Anolis sagrei: one gene and its partner. The protein of the gene in region 1 binds, or shares a complex with, the protein of each later gene. Links are inferred from orthologs where the notes say so. Each region holds a gene or a part of one and is shown in the gene's direction. Other genes may lie near its edges.

What was found.
Region 2: the proteins of NCAPH2 (region 1) and NCAPG2 are in contact, whole or in part, in a cryo-EM structure (PDB 9F5W), measured with the Homo sapiens proteins. The link is inferred for Anolis sagrei from reciprocal best matches to the Homo sapiens genes NCAPH2 and NCAPG2. Residues at the interface, in NP_689512.2 of Homo sapiens: Pro316, Trp317, Gln318, Ser319, Leu320, Pro322, Phe323, Asp324, Ser325, Leu326, Glu327, Ser328, Lys329, Pro330, Phe331, Lys332, Lys333, Gly334, Arg335, Pro336, Tyr337, Ser338, Val339, Glu344, Gln360, Asp361, Phe362, Gln364, Trp365, Tyr366; in NP_001268861.1 of Homo sapiens: Lys248, Leu251, Gln252, His292, Ile294, His295, Leu296, Pro297, Arg299, Ser300, Val302, Lys340, Ala341, Arg342, Asn343, Ser344, Glu345, Val346, Pro388, Tyr389, Pro390, Arg393, Gly425, Glu426, Ala428, Phe429, Asp430, Thr431, Ser432, Arg437.

What each region holds. Positions count from the first base shown.
Region 1 is NC_090025.1:198,024,398-198,031,883, reverse strand, and holds the start of NCAPH2 (condensin-2 complex subunit H2), read left to right. Parts: upstream 1-4,138; 5' UTR 4,139-4,307; intron 4,308-4,320; exon of another isoform or gene 4,321-4,969; intron 4,970-6,585; 5' UTR 6,586-6,665; coding exon 6,666-6,782; intron 6,783-7,486. Other genes in the region: LMF2 (lipase maturation factor 2), read right to left, coding at 2,548-2,650. UniProt on the Homo sapiens protein: Regulatory subunit of the condensin-2 complex, a complex that seems to provide chromosomes with an additional level of organization and rigidity and in establishing mitotic chromosome architecture.
Region 2 is NC_090026.1:118,100,664-118,109,113, forward strand, and holds the start of NCAPG2 (condensin-2 complex subunit G2), read left to right. Parts: upstream 1-5,038; 5' UTR 5,039-5,154; intron 5,155-8,450. UniProt on the Homo sapiens protein: Regulatory subunit of the condensin-2 complex, a complex which establishes mitotic chromosome architecture and is involved in physical rigidity of the chromatid axis.

The sequences.
Region 1 (7,486 bases):
AGTTGATTTTGCCATTTGGGAGTTGTAGTTGCCAGGATTTATAGTTAATCTACAATCAAAGAGCATTCTGAACTCCACCAGTGATAAAATTGAGCCAAACATGGCTCACATGACCAACAGAAAACTAGAAGGGATTGATGGGCATTGACTTTGAGTTTGGCACAAACTTGGCACAAGCACTCAATACGCCCAAATATGAACACAGATGGAGTTTGGGGAAAACAGACCTTGACATTTGGGAGTTGTAGTCACTGGGATTCACAGTTCACCTACAACTCCACGAACGACAGAATCAGGGCAAACTTCCCACACAGAGAACAGAAAATACTTAAGGCCATCCAATCCAACTCCCTTCATCAGGGCAAGAAAACGTAATCAAAGCCCTCCTGACAGAGAGCCATCCAGCAATAGATATAGATAGATATATATGATTCACACACACACAGATAAAGTATTATAGATTTGAAAGGGACCCTTAAAGAAGGACTATGATATGTTGCATATTCCAGAGTAGGCAAACCAGACACTCTCCATATCTACACTGACAAAGAAACAGCAAGAAATTCTGTTTACCCACAAGAAGACAGACAATTACATATATTAGAAACCAACACTTTCTCATTACTTCATTTTCCAGAGCACCAGACTGGGCCACAGCAACGCATGGCAGGGGACAGCTATCACATGGAAATATATTGTATGTTATTATCATAAATACCGTATATACTTGAGTATACACCGACCCGAATATAAGCTGAGGCATCTAATTTTACCACAAAAAACTGGGAAAATGTATTGACTCGAATATAAGCCGAGGGTGGGAAATGCAGCAGCTACTAGTAAATTTCAAAATAAAAATAGATACCAATAACATTATATTAATTTAGGCATTAGTAGGTTAAATGTTTTTGAATATTTACATAAAACTGTAATTCAAGATAAGACTGTCTAACTCTGATTAAACCATTATTATTACCTTCATCAATATAAATATGCTTACTAGGCTTGGGCGGTTTCGTTCGTTAATTTCGTAATTCGTTATTAATTCGTATTTAAATTAGCTTATGATCCAATATTGAGCCATGCAGGAATAGTGTGAGGAGTAAATTAGATTCGAAACAATTGTTTCAATTTATTTCGTAATTGTTTCCTAATTTCGTAAAAATAGGGCCTTCTCGGTGGTGGTGCCACGGCTGTGGAACACCCTTCCTGTGGACATCAGGCTAGCTCCCTCCCTGTTGATATTCCGCAGGAAATTAAAGACCTGGCTGTTTAAGAAGGCATTTGAACAAGAAGTGCAATGATTGATAATTTGACCATAGGAACGGAACAATGGAAATGATATCGGATTGTGGGTTTGACGATGAGACGACATGGAATGGCTTTTGTAGTAATGTTGATGTTTTTGATTAGGAGGTTTTTGATAATGATGAATTATGGATTGTATTTGCACTATGTCTTGTATTTTGCACCTGTTTTTCTATGTTGTACACCGCAATGAGTCGCCCCTGGGCTGAGAATTGCGGTATATAAGCGCAGTAAATAAATAAATAAATAAATATTTCATAATTATTTTCGCATGTCTGGTGCAAGTTTTATAGTTGTTGTTTGTTTTATCACACCAACAATCAACAACAGAGGGAGAGGGAAACTTCAGAAGTTCCCCCTGTCCCATTTGGAGGGTTTTTTTTTAGCATATTGCGCAATCGCGTCCGCCATTCACGAATCACGAATTTTGGAATTCTTTAAAAAAAAAAAAAACGAAACGCAAGGGCCCCCTAAAAACAAAACGGGTTTAGAACCAAATTTTTCCGTGGTTACCCAAGCTTACATGTCCAATAATAATAAATAGAGTAAAATAATAATAATAATAATAGATTAAAGTAATAAATGTAATAACAACAATAATAAATAATAAATGCAATAATAATAATAATAACAACAACAAAGTAAAATAATAAATAACATTGACTCCAGTATAAGCCAGGGGAGACTTTAGTATAAGCCTAAAAAAAGGACTCTCCCAAAGAGAGGGTGCCTCCAGGCAATAGAGGCCAGGCTACCTCTATGCAGAGACCCTCACTGATTGACTTTGCAGCTTCATGGCTACTCAATGCTCATCAATATATATATATTACATACATATTATACATTTTATTATATATTTATTTTATTTATTATATATATATATATATTGTATTTAAAGTCAAATGTAATTTTACAACAAAAACACAATAAATAATTAACTTTCATAGATAAGAACATACACTATATTTTCATTATATATATATATATATATATACACACATATATCATATATTTATATATTGCTTTTATGTATGAAATTCATTCATGTATTGTATTTTTATTGCAGGCCTGGGCCAACTTGGGCCTTCCTCCAGGGGTTTTGGACTCCAACTCCCACAATTCCTAACAGCCGCTAGGCTGTTAGGAATTGTGGGAGTTGGAGTCCAAAACCCCTGGAGGAAGGCCCAAGTTGGCCCAGGCCTGGTATAGCTATATCTCTATCGATGCAGGTCTGCTCACCGGGGGCCTGGAGGTAGAGCGAGGCGAAGGCGGCGAGGAAGGCGGCGGCGAGGCCGGCCAGGAAGAGCTGCCGGGAGAGACGCTGACCCTCCGCGCCCGCCATGGCGACTCCCGTCCTTCCTTCCACACCGCTTCCCAAAAAATCCCCTCAGGCCGCGGGGGTGGGATCCCAACTCCCAGAAGAGCGCCCATTGGTCCAGCTCCACTGGGAGGGCGTGGCCTACGGAGAAGTAACCAATCGGAAACGAAGGGGCGTGGCTCCAGAAAGCTTGGGCCTTGCTTTGACAGAGGAGAGAGAGCTCAGAACGCCCGGGGGTCGCGCTGATTGGATGAATCTCCAGAAATAACGAATCAGAGAAGAGGGCGGGGACTCTACAGAGCTTTGACCCCTGATTGGCTACGTCTCGAGGGAAGGGCGGGCACGGAGGCGGTGAGCAGCACGCTCATTGGCTGAATCTCCAACTGAGGGAAGAAATAACGAATCAGAGAAGAGGGCGGGGATAATACAAAGCTTTGCCCCCTGATTGGCTATGTCTCGAAGGAGAAGGCGGGCACGGAGGCGGTGAGCAGCACGCTCATTGGCTGAATCTCCAACTGAGGGAAGAAATAACGAATTAGAGAAGGGGGCGGGGATAATACAAAGCTTTGGCCCCTGATTGGCTATGTCTCGAAGGAGAAGGCGGGCACGGAGGCTGTGAGCAGCACGCTCATTGGCTGAATCTCCAACTGAGGGAAGAAATAAGGAATTAGAGAAGGGGGCGGGGACTCTACAAAGCTTTGGCCCCTGGTTGGCTACGTCTCGAGCTCATTGGCTGAATCTCCAACTGAGGGAAGAAATAACGAATCGGAGAAGGGGGCGGGGACAATAGAAAGCTTTGGGCCCTGATTGGCTACGTCTCGAGGGAGAGGGCGGGCACAGAGGCATTGAGCAGCACGCTTATTGGTTGAATCTCCAACTGAGGGAAGAAATAACGAATCAGAGAAGAGGGCGGGGATTTTACAAAGCTTTGGCCTCTGATTGGCTACGTCTCGAGGGAGAGGGCGGGCACGGAGGCGGTGAGCAGCACGCTCATTGGCTGAATCTCCAACTGAAGGAAGAAATAACGAATGACAAACGAAGGGGCGGGGCTCCAGAAAGCTATCGCGCTGATTGGCTGAATCTCCAGTCGAGGGAAGAAATAACTAATCAGAGAAGGGGGTGGGGACTCTACAAAGCTTTGGCCTCTGATTGGCTACGTCTCGAAGGGGAGGGCTGGCATGGCGTCGGTTAGCAGCACGCTTATTGGCTGAGTCTCCAACTGAGGGAAGAAATAACAAATCAGAGAAGGGGGCGGGGACTCAAGAAGGCGTTGGCCTCGCTTTCACGGGGTAGGGCTCAGAACGCTCAAAGATGGCGCTGATTGGCTAAGAATCGCGAGAAAGGCGGCGCCGAGAGAAGAATTAACCAATGAGGGGCGGGATGGGCGGGACGAGAAAGAGTGACTGAGGAGCACCGAAGGGGGCGTGGCCTGGAAACCAAAAGGGGGCGGGGCTTGAAGCGGCAACGTTCCTCCATCATTGTAGGCGTGGCTTCGAGCTTGTGGGCGTGGCTTCAAGGTGGATACAATAGGCAGGGAAGAGGGAGGTGTCACTCTGCGTCGCGTTCCTTATACGTCACCTTTTGGGCGCCGTCGACGCTTGTGGATGGCGTCACGAGGCGCGTCGGGCGGGAAAAACGAAAAGAACCAGCCTTCTTCCGTTGAGAGGGAATGCCGAGCGAGGTAAGGCCTCTTTTCCAGCTGGAATAGCCTTGAGAAGCCTCGAAGACTGCCAGGCCCATCAGTGAGGCGAACTACAACTCCAAAACCCAGCAGCACTGTCTCCTGACGTTTCGCCTGCATCTATTGCCAGTGCTATCTTCAGAGATTCCGTTGGATTGTCTGTATCCCTGTGGAATAATGTCCTTGATGAGCATTGAGTAGCCATGAAGCTGCAAAGTCAACCAGTGAGGTCGTCTCTGCATAGAGGTAGCCTGGCTGTTGTGCCCTGGAGGCACCCTCTCTTTGGGAGGGGTTAACTGGCCCTTGATTGCTTGCTGTCTGGTGTTCTCCTGTCTCTCAATGGTGTTCCTTATTTACTGTCTTGATTCCGGCGGGGTTTTTTTTTTTTTTGAGAAACTGCAAGTCGCTTCTGGTGTGAGAGAATTGGCCGTCTGCAAGGACATTGCCCAGGGGACGATACTCTGATGTTTTGATGTTTTCATCATCCTTGTGAGAGGCTACTCTCATGTTCCCGCATGAGGAGCTGGAGCTGACGGAGGGAGCTCATCTGCCTCTCCCCGGATTCGAACCAGCAACCTGTCAGTCCTGCCGTCAAAGGGGTTTAACCCACTGCGCCACCGGGGGTTCCTGTAAATACTAGTAACCAGAGTGATTGACAACTGGTAATTACATCTCGTTACATCCCGAATAGATTACTTGAACACACTCTTCCATAAGGAAGGCTGAGCAAAGGAAGAGAGATGCTTTGGAACTCTGGTGTTGGAGGAAAGTGCTGAGAGTGCCTTGGACCGCAAGAAGATCCAACCAGTCCATCCTCCAGGAAATAAAGCCCGACTGCTCACTGGAAGGAAGGATAGTAGAGGCAAAGATGAAGTCTGGGTTGTTGTATGTTTTTTGGGCTATATGGCCATGTTCTAGAAGCATTCTCTCCTGACGTTTCGCCTGCATCTATGGCAGGCATCCTCAGAGGTTGTGAGGGTTGTAGGTTTTTTCAGGCTATATGGCCATGTTCTAGAAGCATTCTCTCCTGACGTTTCGCCTGCATCTATGACAGGCATCCTCAGAGGTTGTGAGGGTTGTAGGTTTTTCAGGCTATATGGCCATGTTCTAGAAGCATTCTCTCCTGACGTTTCGCCTGCATCTATGGCAAGCATCCTCAGAGCTTGTGAGGTCACAACCTCACAACCTCTGAGGATGCCTGCCATAGATGCAGGCGAAACGTCAGGAGAGAATGCTTCTAGAACATGGCCATATAGCCTGAAAAACCTACAACAACCCAGTGATTCCAGCCAGAAAGCCTCCAACAATACAAAGATGAAGGGCCATATCATGAGAAAACAGGAAAGCTTAGAGAAGAGAATGATGCTGGGGGAAATAGAAGGGAAAAGGAAGGGGGGCTGACCAAGGGCAAGGTGGGTGGATGGTGTACTTGAAGTGACTGGCATCACTCTGAAGCAGCCTCAGGGGGTGGTCACGGCTGATAGGGAGCTCTGCCCTGGGCTGGTCCAGGAGGGCACCAAGTGTCGGAAGAGACTGAACAAATAAACAACAACAACACTGCCTCCACGTTTTCTCCCTCTCTTTGTCAGTTATCAATCAGTCTGGTTAGCAGTATTTAAAAATCTGGTTACCGGTATTTAAAAAAACACTAGAATCAAGAAAGTAAATAAGGAACACCACTCAGAAAAAGGAGGACACCAGACTGCAAACAATCAAGGGCCAGTTAACACTTCCCAACCAAAGGGTGCCTCCAGGCAATAGAGGCCAGGCTACCTCTATACAGATATCCTCACTGATTGACTTTGCAGCTTCATGGCAACTTAATGCTCATCAAGCTTGGCAATTACAACATTCATGCTTGCTTCAACAGACAAGGGTTCTTTCTTCCACTCTGGACATTATTCCACAGGGATACAGACAGTCCACTTGCCTCATTTCCAACAGAATCTCTGAAGAGGTGAAACATCAGGAGAGAATGCTGCTGGAACATGCCTGGACAGCCTGGAAAACTCACAGCAACCCAGTGATTCCGACCATAGAAGCTTTTGACAACAAAGCAAACTTCAACCCTCCAGGTGTTTTGGACTTCAACTCCCACAATTCCTAACAGCCTATCGGCTGTTAGGAATTGTGGGAGTTGGAGTCCAAAACACCTGGAGGGAGGGCCGAAGTTTGCCCAGACCTGCTTTGGCAGCTCGTCAGAGAGATTCATGCTCTCCAGACCTTCTCCATTCTCCCGTGTTTCGATGTGCTCCTAACCTGAATGTTTACCTTTCAGGTGTAGTCCAAGCTGGAACCCTCCAAGGCCCAAATGCCTTCGTTTGATGGTGTTTGATTGCGTTTCTGGCCTGGTGGGGAATGGCCGCCATGGAAGACGCCGAGTCCCGCTTCATGCACTTCCTGCAGCCCATTCGGGACCTCACCAAGAACTGGGAGGTCGATGTGGCATCTCAGCTGGGAGAATACCTGGAGGAGGTGAGGTTCAGAACCCAAAACAAACACTGGGGGCGGCTTCATTCAACCGATCGGAAGGCATGCAAAGCTTTTACACGAGTTTCCAAGCCCACTGGTGTTTTCATTGTGATTGAATGGAAGGAAAACAAATGTGAGGTTTTTCGAGTTCCCCAAAGCCTGCAGTTTTGTATATTTCAGCCTGATGGATTCAAGCAGGTAGAAAGTTGATGCTTCTCTCTCAAAAAAGGAGGTGGAGAAACAAAAGCAGCAGAGGATGTCAAAGAAGTCTAAAACATGTCAGTCCTTCTTTTTAGGCCATCAGGTCTCTTCCCTTCAGATGGGTTCTGACTCTCTCCATTGGTGCCTCAAATTTATTTATTTTATTTATTCCGGGTACTTCTACCCCGCCCTTCTCAACCCCTGAGGGGGGACTCAGGGCGGCTTACAAAAAAGGCACAATTCGATGCCTATACAAATTACACATAATGTACAATTCCATATTTAAGACAATTATCACAGTTAAAACAATCAAAGCAATCAGTATATAACATATCATATAAAAACTATTCTCATGCTCAGCGTTTTGTTTTTCAGAGTTCCATAGTTCTATTCCATTAATCATTTCCTGACCATTGTCAAAGTCCTTTCTTTATCTGCCCAGTTGTCCGAATGCCTGGTCCCAAATCCATGTTTTCAGTTTTTTCGTAAGGAAAGGAGCGATGTTG
Region 2 (8,450 bases), on another chromosome or scaffold:
GTGGCACATTCCCCAGATTTCCAGTTTATTTTGTTTTAAGTGTATATTTTAAAATAGTTTCAATTCTAGTTATGGTTCTCCATTTTCCTGAATGGGAAGGAAGTGAATATGGCACATTGGGAAGGTGGACATTATATTCTTAAGACTACTATGGCTCAGAAGCTGCAGTTAGTGCAAAGGTCGGCAGCCAGATTACTAACTGGGGCTGGTTATAGGAAGCATACCATGCCCCTATTAAAGCAGCTCCACTGGCTGCCGATGAGTTTCCGGGCCCAATTCAAAGTGCAGGTTATTACCTATAAAGCCCTATACCAGTGTTTCTCAACCTGGGGGTTGGGACCCCTGGGGGGTCACCAGGGAGTATCAGAGGGGTCACCAAGATCATCAGAAAATACAGTATTATCTATTAGTCATGGAGATACAGCCCTATCTCCCCAAGTGGTCTTGGGGAGATAGGGCTGTATATAAATAAAGTTTTATTATTATATTCTGCACCCTAAATGGCAGGGAATGTGGTTTTAAATAACAATACTTGCGTATACATGTGCAAAATAAAAGTTCATCTAAAACTAAATATTATTGCTGCTCTATCCATCCCAGCAAAGTGGGATATAAAATGTATAATAAATGAAAGAAATAGAAATGGAAGGAGGCTGTAATTAAATGTGAATGATAAAGAAACATACTAAAAGGGTTTACTTGGTGGAATATAAAATAAACTTTCCTATAGCATAACTTACAATTCTCAAAGGGTCTCACAGCTCAAGTCAAGTGTGTGTAAAATAAAACTGATTCTCGCGTCAAAATAGCTATCCCTGAAGGGCCAGGCATGGTATACCATCAAAAGAAATTCTCCAGCTATCTGCTGTACAGTATCACAGGGAATATTTTACTCGTAATACTGTTGATAACAGTAATGAATAATAATAATAATAAATTACAATGGTTTGCCCGAGGCATTTGAGTCTCCTTGACAGCTAGTAAGAAGGCTCATTTAAGGGGAAGGAAACGTGATCCGGCCTGATGAAAAGACAGCATGGAAGCAAAACTGCATTTGCCGTCGCTCAGCAACGCCGCATGGAAAGCCGCCTTCCTGAGATTGCTTTAACTCGATTTGACAGGACGACGATAATGACTGCGAGATTAATATAAAAGGTATAGATTATTCCAGAGTGACACACAGACCTGTCAAAACGGGGGCGTTGTTGAAAGAGGGCACCTTTTTTAAAAAAAACCCTGACAATGGGTGGTGGGCTCGTTATTACTTGTACTTGTGATCCTGAGAAAAATCACAAAAGTCCTACATGTGTCTACCTTTGGGTTTTCTGGCATATTGCTGATGTTTCGTATTATTCAACCTGCTGTGATTTCCTTGTCACTTTTTCTCTTTTTAATGCAGAACTACTGAAATAAAAATACTCTGCTTAATATGCAATGTCAAATTATTAGTAATGATGACAATAACATTATGTAATAAAATTTGAAAAATGTTCTGGTTTCAAAGTGTTATTTCCCTGTTTAATTGTGTGATACTTACTTTGAAACAAATTGTAATACTTCAGAACTTTGTTTTTGTGGCTGCCACAAACTATGTTGAACCAGCTGAGAATCTATGACAGTGTTTCTCAACCTGGGGGTCGGGACCCCTTTGGGTGTCAGAGGGGTCATCAAAGACCATCAGAAAACGCAGTATTTTCTGTTGGTTATGGGGATTCTGTGTGGGAAGTTTGGTCCAATTCTGTCATTGGTGGGTTTCATAATGCTCTTTGATTGTAGGTGAACTATAAATCCCATCAACTACAACTCCCAAATGTCAAGGTCTATTTTCCCCAAACTCCACCAGTGTTCACATTTGGGCATATTTGAGTATTCCTGCCAAGTTTGGTCCAGATCCATTATTGTTTGTGTCCACAGTACACTCTGGATGTAGGTGAACTACAACTCCAAAACTCAAGTTCAATGCCCACCAAACCCTTCCAGTATTTTCTGTTGGTCATGGGAGTTATGTGTACCAACTTTGGTTCAATTCGATCATTGGTGGAGTTCCGAATGTTCTTTGATTGTAGGTGAACTATAAATCCCAGCAACTATAACTCCCAAATGACAAAATCAATCCCCTCTAACCCCATCAGTATTCAAATTTTGGCGTATCGGATATTTGTGCCAAATTTGGTCCAATGAATGAAAATACACCCTGCATATCAGATATTTACGTTATGATTCATATCAGGAGCAAAACTACAGTTATGAAGTAGCAACAAAAATAATTTTATGGTTGGGGGTCACCACAACATGAGGAACTGTATTAAGGGGTCATGGCATCAGGAAGTTTGAGGAACACTGTGCTAGTGGGTTTATAAAAGTTTCAAGATTCAGCTTCTCAGCACACGTTAACTCTGCTGGTGCTGTAGTTACCTTACATTTGTTGCCTCTCTTAGGCAGCCTATCTATACTGCCCTCTTGTGGTTGCCTCTGAGTACTGCATGCATATATACATAATTACTTGTTTTGGGGTTCCTAACCCCCAATGGGGTGAGTGTTTGTAGCTGAAACCTGGCCAAGATTTTAAGTTGGATAATGAAGGATACATGTGCCAAGCTAGGTAGGGATCCATGAAGCCATGTAGGAGCCTTGATGGAACAAACATACATCCATATAGGTGGGTTGTTGTGTGTTTTCTGGGCTGCATGGCCATGTTCCAGAAGCATTCCCTCCTGACATTTCACCTGTGTCTATGGCAGGCATCCTCAGAGGTTGTCTGTTGAAAACTAGAAAATAGGGTTTATACATTTGTGGAATATCCAGCCTGGGAAAAAGAACTCTTGTCTGTTGGAGGTAGGTGTGAATGTTGCAATTGGCCTCCTTGATTAGTATTCAATGGCCTGCCAGTTTCAGGTGTGTCTTACTGCCTGGGGGAATCCTTTGTCAAGGGGTGACTAGCTGTCCCTGATTGTTTCTTGTCTGGAGTTCCCATTTTTCCCACGGACGGTGCCACTATATACCACCCTTCTACACTCACTGCACGTGTGCCCACTGACTGGTTCCTTTGCCTGCTGATTGGTGGGCAATTGCAGCATTCACACCTGCATCAAACAGACAAGAGTTATTTCTCCCACCCTGAATATTCCACAAATATATAAACCCCACTTGCCTAGTTTCCAATAGACCTCACAACCTCTGAAGATGCATGACATAGATGCAGGCAAAATGTCAGGAGAGAATGCTTCTGGAACATGGCCATACAGCCTGGAAAACTCACAGCAACCCAGTGATTCCAGCCATGAAAGCCTTCAACAGCACATCTATATAAATAAAAATGTAATGTATATTTGTGGGATTAACATAACTCAAAAACTACTGGACGTATTTACACCAAATTTGGACACAATACACATATCAGGCCAACAAGTGACCGACACTCATAAAAACACTGAAATACACAGCAGAAGAGACTTAAAAAGTAAAAATAAAAAATACATTACAATGCTTGCACAAAACCACATATATATATGCAAACACGCATATATATACATACACATATACACACACAAAACACATATACACAGACTGGGCGACAGCAACGCGTGGCAGGGGATAGCTAGTCATTCATAAAAACAATGAAAACCACACACACATATATGCAAACAGACACACACACACACACATACATATACATATACACAAATATATACACACACATATACACACACAAAAGACATATACACAGATTGGGCCACAGCAACGCGTGGCAGGGGACGGCTAGTCATTCATAAAAACACTGAAAACCACACACATATATATGCAAACACACACACACACACACACACACACACATATACATATACACAAATATATACACACACATATACACACACAAAAGACATATACACAGATTGGGCCACAGCAACGCGTGGCAGGGGACGGCTAGTCATTCATAAAAACACTAAAAAAACACACACATATATATGCAAACACACACACACATACATACATATACATATACACAAATATATACACACACATATACACACACAAAACACATGTGCACAGACTGGGCCACAGCAAAGCGCGGCAGGGGATGGCTAGTCATTCATAAAAACACTAAAAACACACATATATATGCAAACACACATATACATATACACAAATATATACACACACATATACACACACAAAACACATATACACAGATTGGGCCACAGCAATGCGTGGCAGGGGACAGCTAGTCATTCATAAAAACACTAAAAACACACACACACACATACATATACACAAATATATACACACACATATACACACACAAAACACATATGCACAGACTGGGCCACAGCAACACGTGGCAGGGGATGGCTAGTCATTCATAAAAACACTGAAAACCACACACACATATATGCACACAGACACACACATATATATATACATACATACATATATACACAAATATATACACACACATATACACACACAAAACACATATACACAGACTGGGTCACAGCAATGCGTGGTAGGGGACGGCTAGTCATTCATTGAACTGGGTTGCATCCACATTGTAGAATTAATTCAGTTTGACACCACTTTAATTGCCATGGCTCAGTGCCAAGGGACCCTTTGCTGGGGCAGCATCACTCCCTGCAGAGAAAGGTAAAAGCCTTGTCAAACTATAACTCCCAGGATTCCACAGCACTCAGCCATGGCAGCCCAAGTGGTATCAAACTGTGTTAATTCTACAGTGTAGACATACCCTTTGTTTTCTGGACTGATACAATTTTCAAAATATTTAATAAATGCATAATTAAATGCAAATATTTATTTCACCGTTGCAATTCCTCATCCTATAGTTCCCGGAGGCGACTGCATTGAACTTTGATACTTTTAACCTGTTTTGACTGCAGAGTGCAGCTTTGTCCTACTTGCAGCAAGTCAAGCACTAGTGCGCATGCGCAGCAGGGGATCCGGAGGAGGAACCCTCCTTTCGCCGCTTTCTTTCGTCAGTCGTCTCCCTTTCCAGCCATTTAGAGCGGGCGCGTGCGCAGTGAGTGTAGAAGGGCGGTGTTTAGTGGCGCCGCCCGCGGGAGAATTTGAACGGTCCCGCGAGAAAGCGCCAAATCGGAGAGATGGATTCTTCGTTGCGAGTTTGAAAACGAGAATTTTAGGGTAAGGGCGGGCGTGTTTTTGTGTATACTCTCTTTGAAAAGGGATAAGTCATATACATATATTGAATTGTTGGCAGGCAAGTTAGATATTTCCAGGAAGGGGATTTGGGAGCCGAATCCGGTCCTTGCTAGGAAGCTTTTTAGGTTTGTAAACAGACTCTCCTTCCATTTCCCCCCCTTTGTTTTCAACGAATTCCAATTGCTCAGAGGGTGCATCTACACTGTAGAATTATTGCAGTTCTATACCACTTCCACTGTTATGGAATTGTTACTTTGCAAGGTCTGTAGTCCCCCCTGCTAAAGAGTGTTGGTGCCCCGCCAAACTACAAATCCCAGCATTGAGCAACAGCAGTGTAGATGCCCCCTAGCATCTACACTGTAGAATTAATGCAGTTCTGTACCACTTTCACTGCTATGGAATTATGGGAGTCGTTGTTTTGCAAGGTCTGGAGTCTCCCCTGCTAAAGAGTGTTGGTGCCTCGCCAAACTACAAATCCCAGCATTGAGCCCCCCTAGCATTTACACTGTAGAATTAATGCAGTTCTGTACCACTTTCACTGCTATGGAATTATGGGAGTTGTCGTTTTGCCAGGTCTGGAGTCTTCTCTGCTAAAGAGTGTTGGTGCCCCGCCAAACTACAAATCCCAGCATGGAGCCCCCCTAGCATCTACACTGTAGAATTAATGCAGTTCTGTACCACTTTCACTGCTATGGAATTATGGGAGTTGTTGTTTTGCCAGGTCTGGAGTCTTCTCTGCTAAAGAGTGTTGGTACCCCGCCAAACTACAAATCCCAGCATTGAGCCCCCCTAGCATCTACACTGTAGAATTAATGCAGTTCTATATCACTTTTACTGCTATGGAATTATGGGAGTTGTGGTTTTGCCAGGTCTGGAGTCTTCTCTGCTAAAGAGTGTTGGTGCCCCGCCAAACTACAAATCCCAGCATTGAGCCCCCCTAGCATCTACACTGTAGAATTAATGCAGTTCTATATCACTTTTACTGCTATGGAATTATGGGAGTTGTGGTTTTGCCAGGTCTGGAGTCTTCTCTGCTAAAGAGTGTTGGTGCCCCGCCAAACTACAAATCCCAGCATTGAGCCCCCCTAGCATCTACACTAGAATTAATGCAGTTCTATATCACTTTTACTGCTATGGAATTATGGGAGTTGTGGTTTTGCCAGGTCTGGAGTCTTCTCTGCTAAAGAGTGTTGGTACCCCGCCAAACTACAAATCCCAGCATTGAGCCCCCCTAGCATCTACACTGTAGAATTAATGCAGTTCTATATCACTTTTACTGCTATGGAATTATGGGAGTTGTGGTTTTGCCAGGTCTGGAGTCTTCTCTGCTAAAGAGTGTTGGTGCCCCGCCAAACTACAAATCCCAGCATTGAGCCCCCCTAGCATCTACACTGTAGAATTAATGCAGTTCTATATCACTTTCATTACTATGGAATTATGGGAATTGTCGTTTTGCAAGGTCTATAGTCTTCTCTGCCATAGAATGCTGGTGCTTCCCCAAGCTACAAATCCTAGGAACTCATGGCAGTTAAAGTGGTATCAAACTGCGTTAATTTTGCAGTGTAGATGCTCCCTAGACAGTGCTCCAATCACTACACCATAGAAAAGTATGAGCACACACTGTCATGTTCTCTACCTTCCTTTCTTACCATTACATGTTGCCATGTAATTCTTCATTCTTTCTTCCTACTAGCCTGTTGCTTCCTCTGCTGAGTTTTAAAAGATAACATTGGTGGTTTCAGGGCTGTTTTCTGATTTTAGGAAATAAATAATATACCCCATGTTTCTGTGGAATAACATGCAGGATAAGTTTGCTATTATGAAAGGAACAAACAAACCTCGTTGTGAATACCCGCCTCCCATTAGGAAGCAGAAAACACACACACACATATATAAAGGTAAATGTTTCCCCTTGATATGAAGTCTAGTCGTGTCCAACTCTAGCAGATGGTGCTCTTTTCCATTTCTAAGATGAAGAGCCGACATTGTCCATAGACACCTCCAAGGTCATGTGGCCGGCATGACTGCATGATGCGCTGTTACCTTCCCACAGAAGTGGTACCTATTGATCTACTCACATTTGAATGTTTTCAAATTCCTAGATTGGCGGAAGCTGAGGCTAGTAGTGGGAGCTCACCCCGCTTCCTAGATTTGAACTGACTTTTCGGTCAGTGAATTCAACAGCTCAGCGGTTTAACCTACTGCGCCACCGGGGTCTCTCTCTCTTTCTCTCTCTCTATATATACACACACACCTGGAGGGCCAAAGTTTGTCCATGCACATGGATTACTAGCACTAGAGAGCAAAACACTGCCTTGAGTCGCCTCCAGGTTGAGAGTAGTGGTATATAAATATAGTAAATGAATAAATGTGGTATAGTGGCTTGAGAGTAGAATTAGAGACCAGGGTTCAAATATCCAATCAGCTGTGGAAACCCATTTGCCTTCAACGAAGGCAAAGCAAAACTTGCCAAGAAACCCTAGGCTTGCCATAAGTCAGATGAGACTCGAAAGCACGCAAGCCAGAATTAATAGTCCTACCACAGTAACTTTACTACTTGTTTATTCTGTTGAATGTTAGTACTCTGCAGTCCCAAGGCAGCTAACAAAACCAATTCGATTTTCTATCTGGGGAAAAGTGAGGTTTATTCTTTTCCAATGCTGCTCTTAGTCTATGAATAAATGGACTTAGATTGATCCCTGTCACAGCACGGAACTGAAGCCACCTATGACCACAGCATCACACAAGAGTCCAAGATAGAAGCAAACAGTTTATTGTAAAACACACAAAAAGATATATATAGGAAAAAAACAGCAATAAAGAAATCAGGTATTTAATCCAAGTAGTTGGTAATCAATTCTCTCTTGTAAATCCAAGGGTAAAATAGTCCAAAGATAGTTCGAGTACACTAAGATCCAAAACCATGAGCAATACTTGGAACAGGAATGCAAAACAAGACCATGAGATACTTGGATCAAAAACCAAGGCTTGAAACGAGAGAGCCAGGTGCAGCTATTAACTTGAACGCCATGTTGCCTGAACTGAAGAGCAAGGTGCCCATTAGCTCATTAATAAACAGACATGAAAGCATTACATCTACCCTGGAATTTCTGCTTCCCACGAAGCCGTGATGATCTATGAATCTGGCTATCTGTTCGAATGTGCATGCGTACTTGCTTTCTTAAGTCGGAAACAGGTGCGTTCCCATATGAATTTCTCACCCCTTCATCTTTGTTAGACTTATCTGCCGGTAGGCTATTAGGAATTGTGTGTTGGAG